2 linked regions of the Astyanax mexicanus genome follow. The protein of the gene in region 2 interacts with the protein of the main gene of each other region in a pairwise test. Links are inferred from orthologs where the notes say so. Each region holds a gene or a part of one and is shown on either strand. Other genes may lie near its edges.

Region 1 (6,858 bases), on a different chromosome or scaffold from region 2:
TCCAGACTCCCTGGAGGTTCCTTGATTTCCAAATAGAACGTAAAATTGACTGATCATCGGTGATGGTTTGGAAATTCTTGTCATCTGCTGGTGTTGGTCCACTGTTGCACATTTTGAACTGAATTACTGAAATAAATTAACTTTTCAATTATATTTTTCAAATATATTTTTTTGAGATGCACTTGCATATTAGTTGTGTCAATCGATTAAAAGAGTTAATCACTATTAATCACACTTTTTCTTTCTTAAGACTAAGCTTTTGATAATGGGTATTTAAATGAGAATATATGATTTATACTGTTGGGTAATATTAATTTAGGCTAAAATTCATTATACATGTTTTGTAAATATTTTATATATATATATATATATATATATATATATATATATATATATATATATATATATATATATATATATATATATATATATATATATATATTCATGTTTTATTACTTTAGCACAATTTAAACTTTTTAACTTACCTTTAACGTATATTCAAATAATATATATATTCCATTTAGCTGAATTTATTCAAATCCTAAACTAGAGGTGGGGCAATATGGTTAAAATATTGTATCATATTGTTTAATTGTGATATTTTCATTATACACAATACTTGACATACATATTAAATGCATCATATATAGATTCTGTCAATTAAAAACTCAGACTATGACAAACTACACTCTTTGTAATGAAACAGTTGATGTTTAAGAAAGCTATATTGTGTATCACAATAAAATAATTTATCATGATATGAAAAGATGTTATGATTATGCCTCCCCCTACTCTAAACCTGATCCTAAAAAGAAATATTTTACACAACTAAATCTCAACCCACAACCTACAGTATACCTAACCTGCAGTCTGGGCTTTATAAGGTCCCCTACACTGTTAAAAGACAGCTGAGTTTCAAAAGATTGTTTGTTAACAATTTGAACATCTGTAGATGTTGATGATCTATAGGGAGATATAATCTCCTATCTAAATAAACTGAGACCAAAAGCAATACATCAAGACAGCTGAGAAAACTGTCAGAAGAAGAACATGGATTACAACCATATGTGGGTCAGACAGTTCCCACAGTCATGTGAATGAAAAATGTTGGGGATCCTTCATTTTTTTCCATAACTACGAAACTGCAATATGCACAGACATAAATAAACAAAAAAATAGAACATTTTCCCCATCAACAAAAATTATGCCATATTTTGAATGTGTGATCATAATTTGTATTTTAACAAGACAAAAAAATACATCAAACAAGCTTCTTTCATCAAACCAGGCTTTGACAATCATTGCACAAATGCATTCTTATTTATTCACCACTTCACAGAGGAATGCACAATTCACAAGTTGTGAGAGGGTCCAAATCCAGGGGGTTTATTTACAGAGTAAAACAAGCCTTTTAGAATAATTTCAGTATCTATCCTTCATTGTGTTTCCCCTGTCTCAGGCGGCAGCGAAGATTCCAGCTATGATTAAACAGTAGCAGGTGTCCATGTACAGTACCCAAGGTCTAAAGAGTAAAAGGTAGGGGTGTTCCTCGGTCCACATTAGCAAATGACACATCCACCTTTCTCCTTGAATGGATTCTTCTCCTCTGAAATGCCTTTGACCAGGATGTCTTCCTCTACACCTGCCTGAATGTATTCCATGACCTCCTCACAGCATTTAGACACCTGACCAAATAAAAAGGGCAAAAATAATATTATTCAATATTAATATGCAGTATCAAGTATAATGCAATGTAATGCATAATTACAGAACTAAATGGAAAATCCTCATGAAACTTTTAGGGGTTTTTAATTTAAAACTGTGAAGGAACACCTTAAAGTGCTTTAGAGGAACCCTCAGCAAAAAGTTTAAAGAGACCACCTGAAGCTTTCTAGTTTATTCTTATTTGTTTAACAGTGTAGAATAACCTCTTTTTTTTCCAAAAAGAACCTTTAGGTGCCAAAATCTTTATTTATTTATTTTACATCACCAACAGCTGATCATGAATATATAATTACCCAGACCTTACCTTTTCTCGCTCTAGTTTCACCTCAACTTTCAGCTGAGTTACTTCCATTTTTGCCTTATCCAAGTCCGTCAAATCGTCTACATTTATGACCGGCATTTTCTGTAAGAAAAGAAACTAAATTACAAATTTGTAAACAACAACAAATACTGCACATTATTTCAAACCAAGGCTAAAGAAACAGTATTATATTTCACATTAAAGCAATGATAGTCAAACTTACTGCTGCTTACGGTGAGCTCCTTTCCACCCTGAAAATGGCCAGAGAATCCTGCGCCTGTCTCTCAATCCGGGTTATAAAGTAATCTGTATAAACATTGTAATCTCTTAATCTTATTAAAACAAGCACTCTTATTTTGCAGTTTATTTCAGGTATTTTTTTACTCTAATGTAATGACAATGTTACTGTTTTTGGCCTTTTAAATATATTTTTAAATGCTTCACAGCTTTTAATTTATGGCCAGGGTTAATATGTGAGTGGCTTCTCAATGTTAATATCACAGTATCAATGTGGGTCAAGGGGACAGGGCATTACAGGCTTCTATGTTGAGCAAGCTAATCTGTGTTTACCCCCAACCCATCACGCTGGATAATACATCATCATTCTTAATATGACAAATGTGTTCCCTCAAGAAATGAATGAGGGAGACGTGCCCTCTGGCCAGACAGTGACCACGAGTGGCATGATAAAAGCTATGCCTGTGACATGTGCTCTGTGCTCATTCTGAAAACTGGGGGGAAAACTGGGTACATTAGATTTGTTGTGAACTACTCCTTTAATCCTTTAAACCCTACATGCCCGTATGTTGGCCCGTACTTAAATTTCACACATCAGTTTTATAGTATATCCCAAATCATTTATAGTGAATACTTAATCACTTAATTTATGAAATATACTGAAATATTTAGTAGATCCTGAAAAATTAACTATGGGTACTAATATAAAAAAAAGATTTATTTTAAATAATAATTAACTGTAGATACTATATTCTACAGAATATACAGAATCATTTGAAGTAGATTTGAAATTATTAATAGCCATGGTTACTGAATAATTAGTAGATTTAGAATCATTTATAGAACATACAAAATAATTTATAGTACATAGTGAATCAATAGTGAGTTTAAACAAGGGTACTTTATTGTAGATTTTAAATCACTAATAGCAGATACTGAATCAGTTATAGGAGAATCTGAATCATTTATAGTACATACTGAATAATTTATAGAAGAATCTGAATCATTTATAGTACATACTGAATAATTTATAGAAGAATCTGAATCATTTATAGTACATACTGAATAATTTATAGAAGAATCTGAATCATTTATAGTACATACTGAATAATTTATAGAAGAATCTGAATCATTTATAGTACATACTGAATCAGTTATAGAAGAATCTGAATCATTTATAGTACATACAGAATCATTTATAGAAGAATCTGAATCCTTTATAGTACATACTAATCAGTTATAGAACAATCTGAATCATTTATAGTACATACTGAATCATTTATAGAAGAATCTGAATCATTTATAGTACATACTGAATCATTTATAGAAGAATCTGAATCATTTATAGTACATACTGAATCAGTTATAGAACAATCTGAATCATTTATAGTACATACTGAATCATTTATAGAAGAATCTGAATCATTTATAGTACATACTGAATCATTTATAGAAGAATCTGAATCATTTATAGTACATACTGAATAATTTATAGAAGAATCTGAATCATTTATAGTACATACTGATTCAGTTATAGAAGAATCTGAATCCTTTATAGTACATACTGAATCATTCATAGAATAATCTGAATAATTTATAATATATACTGAATCATTTATAGAAGAATCTGAATAATTTATAGTAAATACTGAGTAATGGGTCTTACAAGTACAAAATTAGCTTTGGATTCAATCATTTATAGAATACACTGAACCATTTATAACAGATAATAAATAACTTGTAGTATATATAAATCATTAATAGTGGATATTGAATCATTTATAGCAGAAACAGAATAATTCATAGTACATACTGAATTGTTTGTGGTAGGTATGGAATCACTTACAGTAGATACTGAATTGTTTATAGAAAATACATAATACTTTTTTTTATAAATATTGAATAATTTGTAGTAGATACTGAGTAATGGATCTTACAATTACAGTAACAGTGATAACAGTAATAACAGTAAGTCTAGGATTCAAGATAATAGTTTAGTAAGATAACAGTTTATGTTTCATTGTCTGTGTATTTTGATTACTCACAGAGCACAAGGTTTAAAAGGTGTGTTGGTGATGTGGCGTAATGCTGTTTTATACAGTGTGGTCACTCGGACACGACCGCTTCTGACTCAAATATTCTATTTCCCTGGCATTAGTGAAAGTGTAAAACGTCATTACAGCGGTTAAGTCATTCCTCTGTGCGTAGCTGACTGAGTCAAAATATCCTTTTTTAGCTTATCAAATTGAAAGTATGTCAAAACTTAAAAAAAAAACAAGCACTCCGTTTTCTCCTCGCTCTTCTAATCAACAAGCATGTCGAGACTCATAACTCATATCCTCAGTATTTGCTTATGTTGGCCTGCTTCCCTCAGGCGGGAAGAGTGGTTGCACTTGTTATCTTTCATAATGTCTCGCTGATGGCTGAGTCCTGCTATAGGCTGATGTAGAATCATTACGTTAAGCTAACGCACGTGAAACAAGGCCAGGGTGTGTCGAGGAACCAGTGACATTTAATGAACACATTATTACTAAATGCTGTTTCCTAAGAGACTCTGTAATATTTTGTTGTGTCAGGTCTCAGGGGTGTTGCTCTCTGAAATAAGATTAATGAGTGGTCAGTGAATACTTTTGAAACCACTTTGAGGCTTAAGAAATTTCACCATGTATTTAACCTTTTACTGCTTCAATTGTTTTACACATATGGCAACAATTACTTTTTTTTCACTACCATATAAAACTTACATTTAAATTTTTTGGTCTACAAAATCTGATTTATCTGTAACATGGAATATTGCTGTTATTTTATACAAAAAATATTTGCACAGATGGTATTACATAATGTATGAATATACACTGTATGGACAAAAGTGTTGGGACACATGCTTATTTTTTTCTTCTGAATTCCTGGGGAAAAATAGAGTTCATCCTGCTTTTGTGGAGTAACTGTCTCTGCTGTCCAGGGAAGACTTTTTACTAAATTTTGGAGCACTGCTATAAGGATTTTATAGAATTCAGTGACAAGAGCATTTGTGAGGTGACAGTGTCAGGTGATCACTCTCTCACCTCATCCACAAACAAACCCAAGCATTTATATAATGCTTTTTAAAAGAAATGTTTTCACAAAGCAGCTTTACACAGACATGTGATTTACACAGACATGTAATTTCAAGATAAGTTAAAACATACAATCAAAAAGAATCCAAGCGTCTTATGAATAAATAAAACAGTATGAAGGTTGTAATGTTACTGATGTCAAAGGGTTTTTTTCTTAAAGGATTGTTTAAAGGAATGCTTATTATATTTTAGACAACTTGAAATTAAACTTATACATCTTTTTAAAAGTGTGTTATTTCACCACCTGTCCACCATTGTCCTGATCCGATGCCTGCCCTGAACCCCGGCCTCTGTTGGGTCGAGTTCAAGAAAATAGTCTTATTAAATTGTTTTATTAAAAAGCTATTTTTCCTTTATATAAAGCTACGGCGTGATAATCACAGTATAGCAAAGTAAGCATTGGCCTATGCAGTGTGCACACAATCTCCTCCACTTGTCTGTAGCTGCAGCCATTTACACGGCTAAAATGAAAAGCTTGGCACGTTGCCCAATTGCTACACCACACATTTTTCGTAATCATGCAGGGCAGGCTCCATGGATGTTTGAGGTGCAGAAATCAGAAAGTACAGGCACCCACAGCTCTACTTAACTAAAAATGTGGGGTTTAAAACGGGTGATGACAGTTTATGTGGCGGGTTGGGTTGGGCTCATACAGAACAATGAGCTCTAGGCAGCACTATGAACACGGCAAAAACCTCCACCCTCCATGTCAAAGAAAAGGCAATTAAAAGGATGGCCGTATCTGTGCTGACTGTTTGCAGCAGCTGTGATCGGCTGGGTAGTATGAGGGTAAGCTGAAAGCGAGCCTTGTGATTGGCTCAGTTAATCAGTAGTCAACATCATATCTGAAAGAGTTTAGCTGTCCCATTTCCCCCAATCACAGCTCCTACTCTCCACTCCTCCTCCTCCTCCTCCTCTCCTTAATTTCTCAATTTTCTTCTGGGTAGAAGTGGAGGAGTAGGGAAGAAGGAGTAGGAAAGGAGGAGGAGGAGAGGAGGAGTAGCAAAATTTTCTTGATGCAGCCAGTAATGGACATACAGTGCACCCTGATTGGTCTACTGAGCACAAGAATGGACCAATCAGGGTGCTCTGTATGTCACACCCACTATGTCACTATGTTCAGTGGGTGGAATTCGTATTGTTGCTTTGTTTGTTTTGTTGATTTACACTCAACATTTCTGTTTGATTACAGTGTGGTGTTGACTTTAGTTCTAAATGCAGGGTATATATAAAATACACTGCCAGGCCAAAAAAAAAAGTTGCCACCAAAAAAAAGGTCACACACTGTAATATTTTGTGGGACCGCCTTTAGCTTGGATTGCAGCTGCATTCACTGTGGCACTGTTTCGTTAGGCCTTCCGCAATGTCACAAGATTTATTTCAATCCAGTGTTGCAAATTTTTTTTAAGATCATTGCATTGATAATGGTAGAATCTGATCTGCGCAAAGCCGTCTCCAGCAAATTCCAAAGATTCTCAA
Region 2 (8,236 bases):
CTGTCTGTTGTGAAGCAGTGGAACTGTACTATTACTTTTGAAATGAGCAGTGGAGTGAGCATTGTGAACATCTTGTCCTCACTAAAGCTATTTTACTGATTGCAATGCAATTTTCACAGCAATGTTCAGCAATCCAGTGGAAAGCCTTTCCAGTACTATTTACTGTAACTGTACAGTTACTTAAAAAAAATAAATAAATTGAATAGGTCCATACAATGCGACTGATATTCACTACTACACTTACTTACATATCTTATATTGACTTATAAATCTTATATACACCCATATTTTCACTCCTACATTCACTCACCTTCTATATATTTACTCCTACATTCATACACTCCCTATCTAAAAGTCACTCCTACATTCATTTATATATTTACTTCTACACTTTTTTTTCATACCGTATAGTGATTCATAAATCGTATATATTAACTCCTACATTCACTCACTCAATATATTTACTCCTATATTCACTCCCTCTCCCTCTCTCTATTATATATACACTTTTATCCATACCTTATATTGATTTATATATATATATATATATATATATATATATATATATATATATATATATATATATATATATATATATATATACAGTTGAGGACGATATTATTAGCCCCCTTACAAAATAGTCCTTGTTTTCTAAGGATTTTCCAAGTGATATTAACCAGAGCAAAATAAACTAAACACAGCTTTTTTAGACATCGTAGTTTTATTTTGGATGCTTACACTATATTGTATTCCACTCAGAAATGAAGATATTACACAAAACACAAAAACTATCTGGGTCAAAATTATTAGCCCCCCACATCCTAATAGTTAATTGTGTATCCTTTTTGCTGGATTACTGCCTGCAGACGTTTGTTGTAGTTTACAACAAGTCTCTCACACTTCATTTGAGGAATCCTGGCCCATTCTTCTTTGGCAAATCTCTCAAGTTCCTCTAGATTCGATGGTTGTCTTGCATGGACATTTTTCTTTAGGTCACCCCACAGATTTTCTATTGGATTTAAGTCAGGGCTTTGTGCAGGCCATTCAATGACATTCACTTTGGTCATCCGGAGATAGTTCTTCACCAGGAGGGATGTGTGTTTAGGATCATTGTCATGTTGGAAAATGAAATGACGTCTCAGACCCAGTTTCACAGCTGACTGCTTAAGGTTCTCTTTCAAAATATTCACATATTATTCTTTATTCATGATTCCATCCACCTTGACAAGATTTCCAGTTCCAGATGCACTGAAGCATCCCCATAGCATAATAATCCCACCACCATGCTTCACTGTGGGGATGGTGTTCTTTGGGTTGAATGCCTGTCCTTTTTTTCTCCAAACATAAGCAGTGTCCCTGTGGCCAAAGAGCTCTAGTTTAGTCTCATCAGACCATAAGACACGCTTCCAGTATGAATAATTTTTCTCCAGGTTGTCCCGAGCATACTTTAGTCTTGCTTGAAGGTGCCTCTTCCTCAAAAGTGGAGTTTTTCTTGGTCTGCACGCTCGCAGGTCATTCCTGTGCAGCTCTAGTGATGGTCTTCTTAGAGACTATGATTCCTGATGTGGCCAAGTCATTTGCCAGTGCCTTGGAAGTTAATCTGGGGTCTCTAGACACATTTCTCACTAGTATTCTTTCCAGTCTCTCTGAAATCTTTCTCTTTCTACCTCTGCCAGGCTTGTTCTGCACTGTGTTGCTGTCTTTGAATCTCTGAATGATGCCTTTCACTCCAGTTCTTGACACTTGGAAACGCTTGGATATCTTTGTATATCCCTCTCCTGCTTTGTGTGCATCAATAATTCTTTTTCTCAGGTCCAAACTGATTTCCTTTGTTTTTGGCATGTTGCTTCCTCAACTGCCAGCTCCATAATGAGGCTTTTATACCATGTTTTAACTTAAATGAGTTAATTAACTTAACTTAATTGAGTGCAGTCATCTGTTTCACCTGATCACCTTTATGCACATCACCTGAGAAGGTAAAGCACATCACTGCACAAAAGTGGCTTGTGTGATGACTTAATAAATGTTAATTTCTTAAAGGGGGCTAATAATAATGTCCCTGGTCATTTTAGCTTATTCTTACAAAATAATATTTTGGTGCACAAATATAAATATTTTGGTCCTTCTAATGAAAAATTGTATGTTCAGAAATGCTCTGTTAGAACTGCCTTGCTCTGCTAAAAAGGATCTTGCCAGAATCTTGAGGAGACTTAAAATTTCATAGGGGGGCTAATAATATCGTCCTCACCTGTATATATATATATATATATATCATATATTCATCCATTTAATTCACTCTTACTTTCACTCACTCCTTATATTTACTCCTAGACTTTCTTACATACACTATATTGGCTAATAAAGCTTACACTTACCCCTTTTATTCACTCAGTCCCTATATATTCACTTCTTCATTCAATCACTCACTATATTTTTACTCTTACACTTTCTTGCATATCGTATAGTGATTTATATTCACTCCTACATTCACTTTCCATACCTTATGTTCCACTCATTCACTCCTTCCCACATTCACACCTTATGTTCACGCCAACATATAATACTCACACCTTATATACACTCCTACATTTATCCACATATCTTACCCTCACTGGTACACAATTATTCCTTCCCACAATTGACTCACACACATTAAACTCACGGCTTCACTCACAAGCCTTTTATTCACTCCTCTATTCGCTGACTCACTGCTCATATTTACTCCACCATTTAACGTTAACTACATTTTTCTTCATTTTCACTCCTATACACAGTCCCTCCTACACTCTCTCACACGCGACTCACATTAAACTGTCACTTGTTAATCATATAACCTACTAATAATGTAGCTATATAGCTAGAGTTACTTTACTCTGATTCAGTTGTGAAATCTGTAACCTGCAATCAGTTTCAGCATTTTTTAATTAATTAAAATAAAAATAAATAAACATTGAATATTCCCTTGTCACCCGCACACACACATATTTAATATTCACTCCCTCACTCTCACTGCTGCAGACACTCGGTCTTATCTGTCTCTCTCTGTTTAACACTGAACAGTAATAACCGAGCAGCCAGAGCCTGTGTTATCGTGTGGTTCTAGTCGCTAACATGTGAATCAGACGTATAAGAGAATAAACAGTGTTTCATGGTGAAAGCAGAAGGCCAGCTAACGCTACCTGCTAACTCTGGGCTCTTCGTCAGGGCAGCCATCTCCAAGAAACAAGAGTCACGTGATGCGCTCAGCTGCGAGCTGGCCAATCACAGCGCTCCGATCCTGTTACTGAGAGCTCTGGACCTTGTAGTTTTTAAAAATCTTCTATTTGTCATTCATATACTTCATCTCCCATGAAGCCCAGCCTCCCTGTTTTTTTACGGGGCTGGGAAAATGTGCTGTAGCTATGTGGGATGCTGCGCGTCTGCGCTCCGAACAATACAGCCAAAGCCAATGGGACAACAATATGGACTGTATCACTGATCATCATTACCCCGGTTTATAGCATGCTTCTTATTCGCTAGACTGCGGGAAAAATGTGGATACCGACTGAACACGAAAAATATGGCGTGGGTAAGTCTGGGTTTTCATTGTTGTCTCTTTATAATGGACCGGTGAGTTGTAATAGGTGGATTACTGCAGGTGTGATGATAGTGATAAGATGGGGAATCTGTGCACCCTGGGGCTCTGCGTGTGATACAGCGCTCCGGATCTGACTGACAGAAATGTGTGCAGTGATCATCGATTAACAGAATTGAGATCGAATATTTTAAATTAGACTGCAGACTGGTTGCAGTGGTATTTTTTCCAGTGGTTTATGTCCGGTTGTTTGATTGTACTGGTGTTTAATCACTGGCACATGCTGCAATCCGGAGAAATCTTGTTTCGTGGTCATTAAATACAAATAAGAAGCCCCCACCCTCTGTACGCCTAGAATAATATATATATATATATATATATATATGTTTTCTTTGTCCTTATTTATTATTATTTTTATTTGTTTGTATGTTTTAATGTATACATACAAATGACCAATATATACCCAAAACATTTTATATTGAGAATGATTTAAGAGACCACTTCAGTTTCTGAATCACTTTCTCTGATTTTGCTATTTATAGGTATTTGTTTGAGAAAAATGAACAAATTCCAAATAAAAATATTGTCATTTAGAGCATTTATTTACAGAAAATGATAAATGGCTGAAATAACAAAAAAGATGCAGAGCTTTCAGACCTTAACAAGTTCATATTCAAAATGTTCAGAAATCAATGTTTGGTGGAATAACCATGGTTTTTAATCACAGTTTTCATGCATCTTGGCATGTTCTCCTCCACCAGTCTTACACACTGCTTTTGGATAACTTTATGCCACTCCTAGTGCCAAAATTCAAGCAATTCTGCTTGGTTTGATGTCTGATAATTCAATTGGGTAAAATCAAAATAACGCATAATTTTTAAGTGGTCTCTTTTTTCCCAGAGCTTTATATATGTAATGGTTTATGTACATACAGTACATATATAGTGGTGGTGATGTGTGTGTGTGTGTGTGTGTGTGTTTGTTTGTGCTTGTGTGCTTGTGTGTGACGCTCATGTGACTCTTGTGTGGCGAAGTTTGGATCAAATGTGCCCTCCACTATCAAAAAGGTCATGAAATCATCAAAAATCCCCATCTGTTTATAAAACTCAAGGCATACAAGCAGTTCTTATGTTTTGTTTTAGTGTCCAGGCTGGTTTTGTTGTGACAGTAGATGACAGTTTGAGAGATAAATCTTGTCAGATGCGAGTACTAGGGCAGATGAGCAATCCATCAAAATCTGGGTGGCCATTTCCCGCGGGCAAGCAAGTGGACCTAGGCATCTTGCTGAGTCTAAAGTGGGCTGAGTGGCAGCAAAAGTCAGAGGACTCAGAATTCTGCATGGCATAGCTATACTGAACTGCACACTACAGTAACATGGGTTCATTGACCCATTTCAGATTAGGCTCTGACAGTTTGGGAGGAATTAGTTACTGAATCCATTTGAGCCAGAATCCAAAATTGCTTTATCTCATGTACTTCTAAGCATGCTCACTGTAGAAAGTTTCAGATGTTGATTGTCAAGACCTTCTAATCTGCTATTGCCTCGGACCCATCTCTAGAAAAAAACTATTATTATGGCAAACCTTAAAAATATCTTATTTATAGTATGGTTATTTACAAAACCATATGTGTTTTTTCCTGTTCCTTATAGAAGCCTTTTTGGTTAAAATTGACATTCATATCTAACAGATAAAGGATATAATGTTTCAGATTCAGACAGTGTGGTTTAAATGAGAGGAAAAGAGCAATATAAAATGAAAATCGAGCATGAAGGGGTGCAGAGCAAACAAAAGCTGGAGAGACCAACAATATAAATGTCTCTCAAAAGGGAAAAAGAAAATAAAAGAAAGGAGAAGAGATTGAGAGAAAATCATCATCAGCAGCAGCTCTTCTTGCATCTCTTTGTGTAAACTGCAGAACTCTGTCTGTCATAGAAGAGAAGATGCTAAATTCTACTGGGTTTGGTAAACAGTCATATTAGCAATTTTTTATTTGTCATGGATGTAGTCGATCAGTAAAGCAAGATTCAGTATCCAAATTTTATGTATGGATAAGCTGGAGCTGCAAAGCCAACATTTTTAGCTTTAACTCTAGAGGTTAATAGTGTTCATATACATTTCAAATACTTGTTCACTCACATGTATGTCTTCATTAATGCTTTACAGGCTAGTTGATGCGATTTGTCATGAAAGGAGTCTGTGTGTATGTGATAAAAAGTAAGAAAAAAAGTGTAGGTGACTGTTGACTCATAGAGTTATCTACATTAACTTCAGATCTTAAAAAAAAAATAAAACTGGACATTGTGTAGTTTTTACATAATCAATGTTATCTTTTTCTCTTCCAATATCCGATCTAGCATGTCAACCTTGTTAGCATCACTTAGGCTGTAAAAAAGTGTGTGGGCATGTTATTTATTTATGTTATATATTGATTATATATTTATTTAAAATAATTGTTAAATCTGTGTATTTTAGCTACATTTGCTTTGCAGCTCCAGTGCAAAAAAAATAAAGAAAGAAAGAAATTAAATCTAGACACTGAATATGTATAAATGGATTGGGTTTTTTATATGATAGCAGAAGTTGTGTAAAACCAGTTCTTTCAGTGAGCTATTTTTAATTGAAGCACTTCTCTCAAAAATTTGCATACAAAAGTCGAACACTTTGTCGCACCACAGAAGGACAGAGACAGCTAGATTTGCTGCAGAACTGGATCAGATTCAGTCTTTTTACCATTTTAAACTCCAATCTAGAATATCAGCCTGATAATGATACCCTTCTATACTATAATGCCAGCTCTGGAAGTTGCTGTGGACTGGGGATGATAATGAGCTGGAGGATTGTCTGGTGGCTGGCTGTGTGAGTGGTAAAGGCTACAGAGCCCATTAGGGTGGGATATGGAGAAATGTGTGCGTATTAGAGCACTGCTCTTTGGAAGGTGCACACAGCTACAGAAACCTTTATCATTCATGAAATATGGATGGAGTCCAGCGGGGAATGGCACATACACACATGCAGAAATTCACACATGGGCACCCACATTTACACTCTCACACACACCCATACACACACACGCGCACACACACTGTAATCTTGGCTTCTCTTTTCTCTTGGTTGCATATTCAGCTTGAGGTGCCATCTGCTGTACATTGTAAAACCGTCATCAAATAGTACACGTTTCTGTAAACAGAACAGCATGAATTTCCATGATGACGGACCTTCGTTCTGTTCTAAAAACTGTTCTGAATTTTCTTCTCAGCTGGCCGGACCACATGTCCTGGAACAGACAACAGCTTGGTAAAGCAGCTCTGACAAGCTCATATGAAACCATCTCAAATGAAATGAAAGCAGCTCATACTAAAGGCTGTTTAGGGATATCACTGTCAGTTACACTGATAATCAAGTACAAGCCCAATTCCAAAAAAGTTGGGATGCTGTGTATAAACACCCACACTTTATTTACAATAGAACAGATATTAGATATCAGATGTGGAAAGTGAGACATTTTACTATTTAATGAAAATACAAACTGATTAAAAACTTGGGATGGGGCAAAAAAGGCTGGAAAAGCAAGTGGGACTAATAGAAAAAACAGATGAAATTGGAACAATATGCATCTAAATCACATGGCTTGGTATAAAAAGACCATTTAAGTGAGACAGTGTCGTTCAGAAGTCTACAAATAGTGAAGACTAGATATCCCACTATTTACAGTACAAAATTCCAGATTCTGAAAATCTGGAATAATCTCTGTGCTCAAGGCACAGTGCCAACTGTGAATATTGGATACTGGTGATCTTTGGGCCCTCGGGGGGCACTCCATTAAAACCAGACATGATTGTGTACTGGAAATCACTGCACTGGCTTAGGCAGTTATTTCTGACTTAACATCTGATATGTGTTATAAGTTCTGTTGTGAATAAAATATGGGTCTATTATATTAGCAAATGTTTAGTGCCTCAGCTTTGTAATTTACCTTAGAGTTGTAATTTAAAATTAATCAGTTTAATTATGTTTTACTAAAATAAACTTTTAATACTTAACTATTAATTGTATTACTATCAGAGGGGCTTGTGTGTCTCATTTTTGGTACTGTCTGATATAATGTATCTAGAATTTGGAGTCTGTTGACACTAGCCTTGGTTAATGTTCTATTTTTTTTTCTTGCTGTAATTTTGTACCTCCAACTGATACTGTCGAGAATGACACGAAATATTTAGAACTTACTAATATTAAAAGTTAAATGATTTTTCTTTCTCTTGAAAATTACCAATGTTTGGAGATGAAAGCTTGTTTTCGGACTGTGTCAAGATGCGGACTTAGTTTGACAAACAATTTTCCTCTTCTTAGATATATAGTCATTCAGACAAGGAACCCTTGGTGTCCAGAATTAGTTTGGTTCAGCACTGTAGCTGTATGGCTTATATGGTTAAAAATGACCATAAACCAACAAAACCTTTCCAAAGTCATGTCCATATACTTACATCATTATGGTGTTGGTAATTTGATTTTGATACAAATTCTTATCTCCATATGCTTCAGAAAAATATCCATATACGATATGGTCAGATATGATGAAAACATTAACAAAGTATATTGTTAACATTTCAATTTGTAACACCATAAATAAAAGATATGATATAAACTTAAATAGTATATTGCT

What was found.
Region 1: the proteins of znf277 (region 2) and gngt1 interact in a two-hybrid assay, tested with the Homo sapiens proteins (3 studies listed by BioGRID and IntAct). The two-hybrid records come from large-scale screens. The link is inferred for Astyanax mexicanus from reciprocal best matches to the Homo sapiens genes ZNF277 and GNGT1.

Annotation. Positions count from the first base shown.
Region 1 is NC_064410.1:48,608,341-48,615,198, reverse strand, and holds gngt1 (guanine nucleotide-binding protein G(T) subunit gamma-T1), read right to left. Parts: upstream 2,337-6,858; 5' UTR 2,250-2,336; intron 2,129-2,249; 5' UTR 2,126-2,128; coding exon 2,030-2,125; intron 1,686-2,029; coding exon 1,560-1,685; 3' UTR 1,302-1,559; downstream 1-1,301. UniProt on the Homo sapiens protein: Guanine nucleotide-binding proteins (G proteins) are involved as a modulator or transducer in various transmembrane signaling systems.
Region 2 is NC_064417.1:35,276,035-35,284,270, forward strand, and holds the start of znf277 (zinc finger protein 277), read right to left. Parts: upstream 3,262-8,236; 5' UTR 3,214-3,261; coding exon 3,180-3,213; intron 1-3,179. Other genes in the region: dock4 (dedicator of cytokinesis protein 4), read left to right, coding at 3,532-3,568. UniProt on the Homo sapiens protein: Probable transcription factor. Involved in modulation of cellular senescence; represses transcription of the tumor suppressor gene INK4A/ARF, perhaps acting via the Polycomb group (PcG) complex PRC1.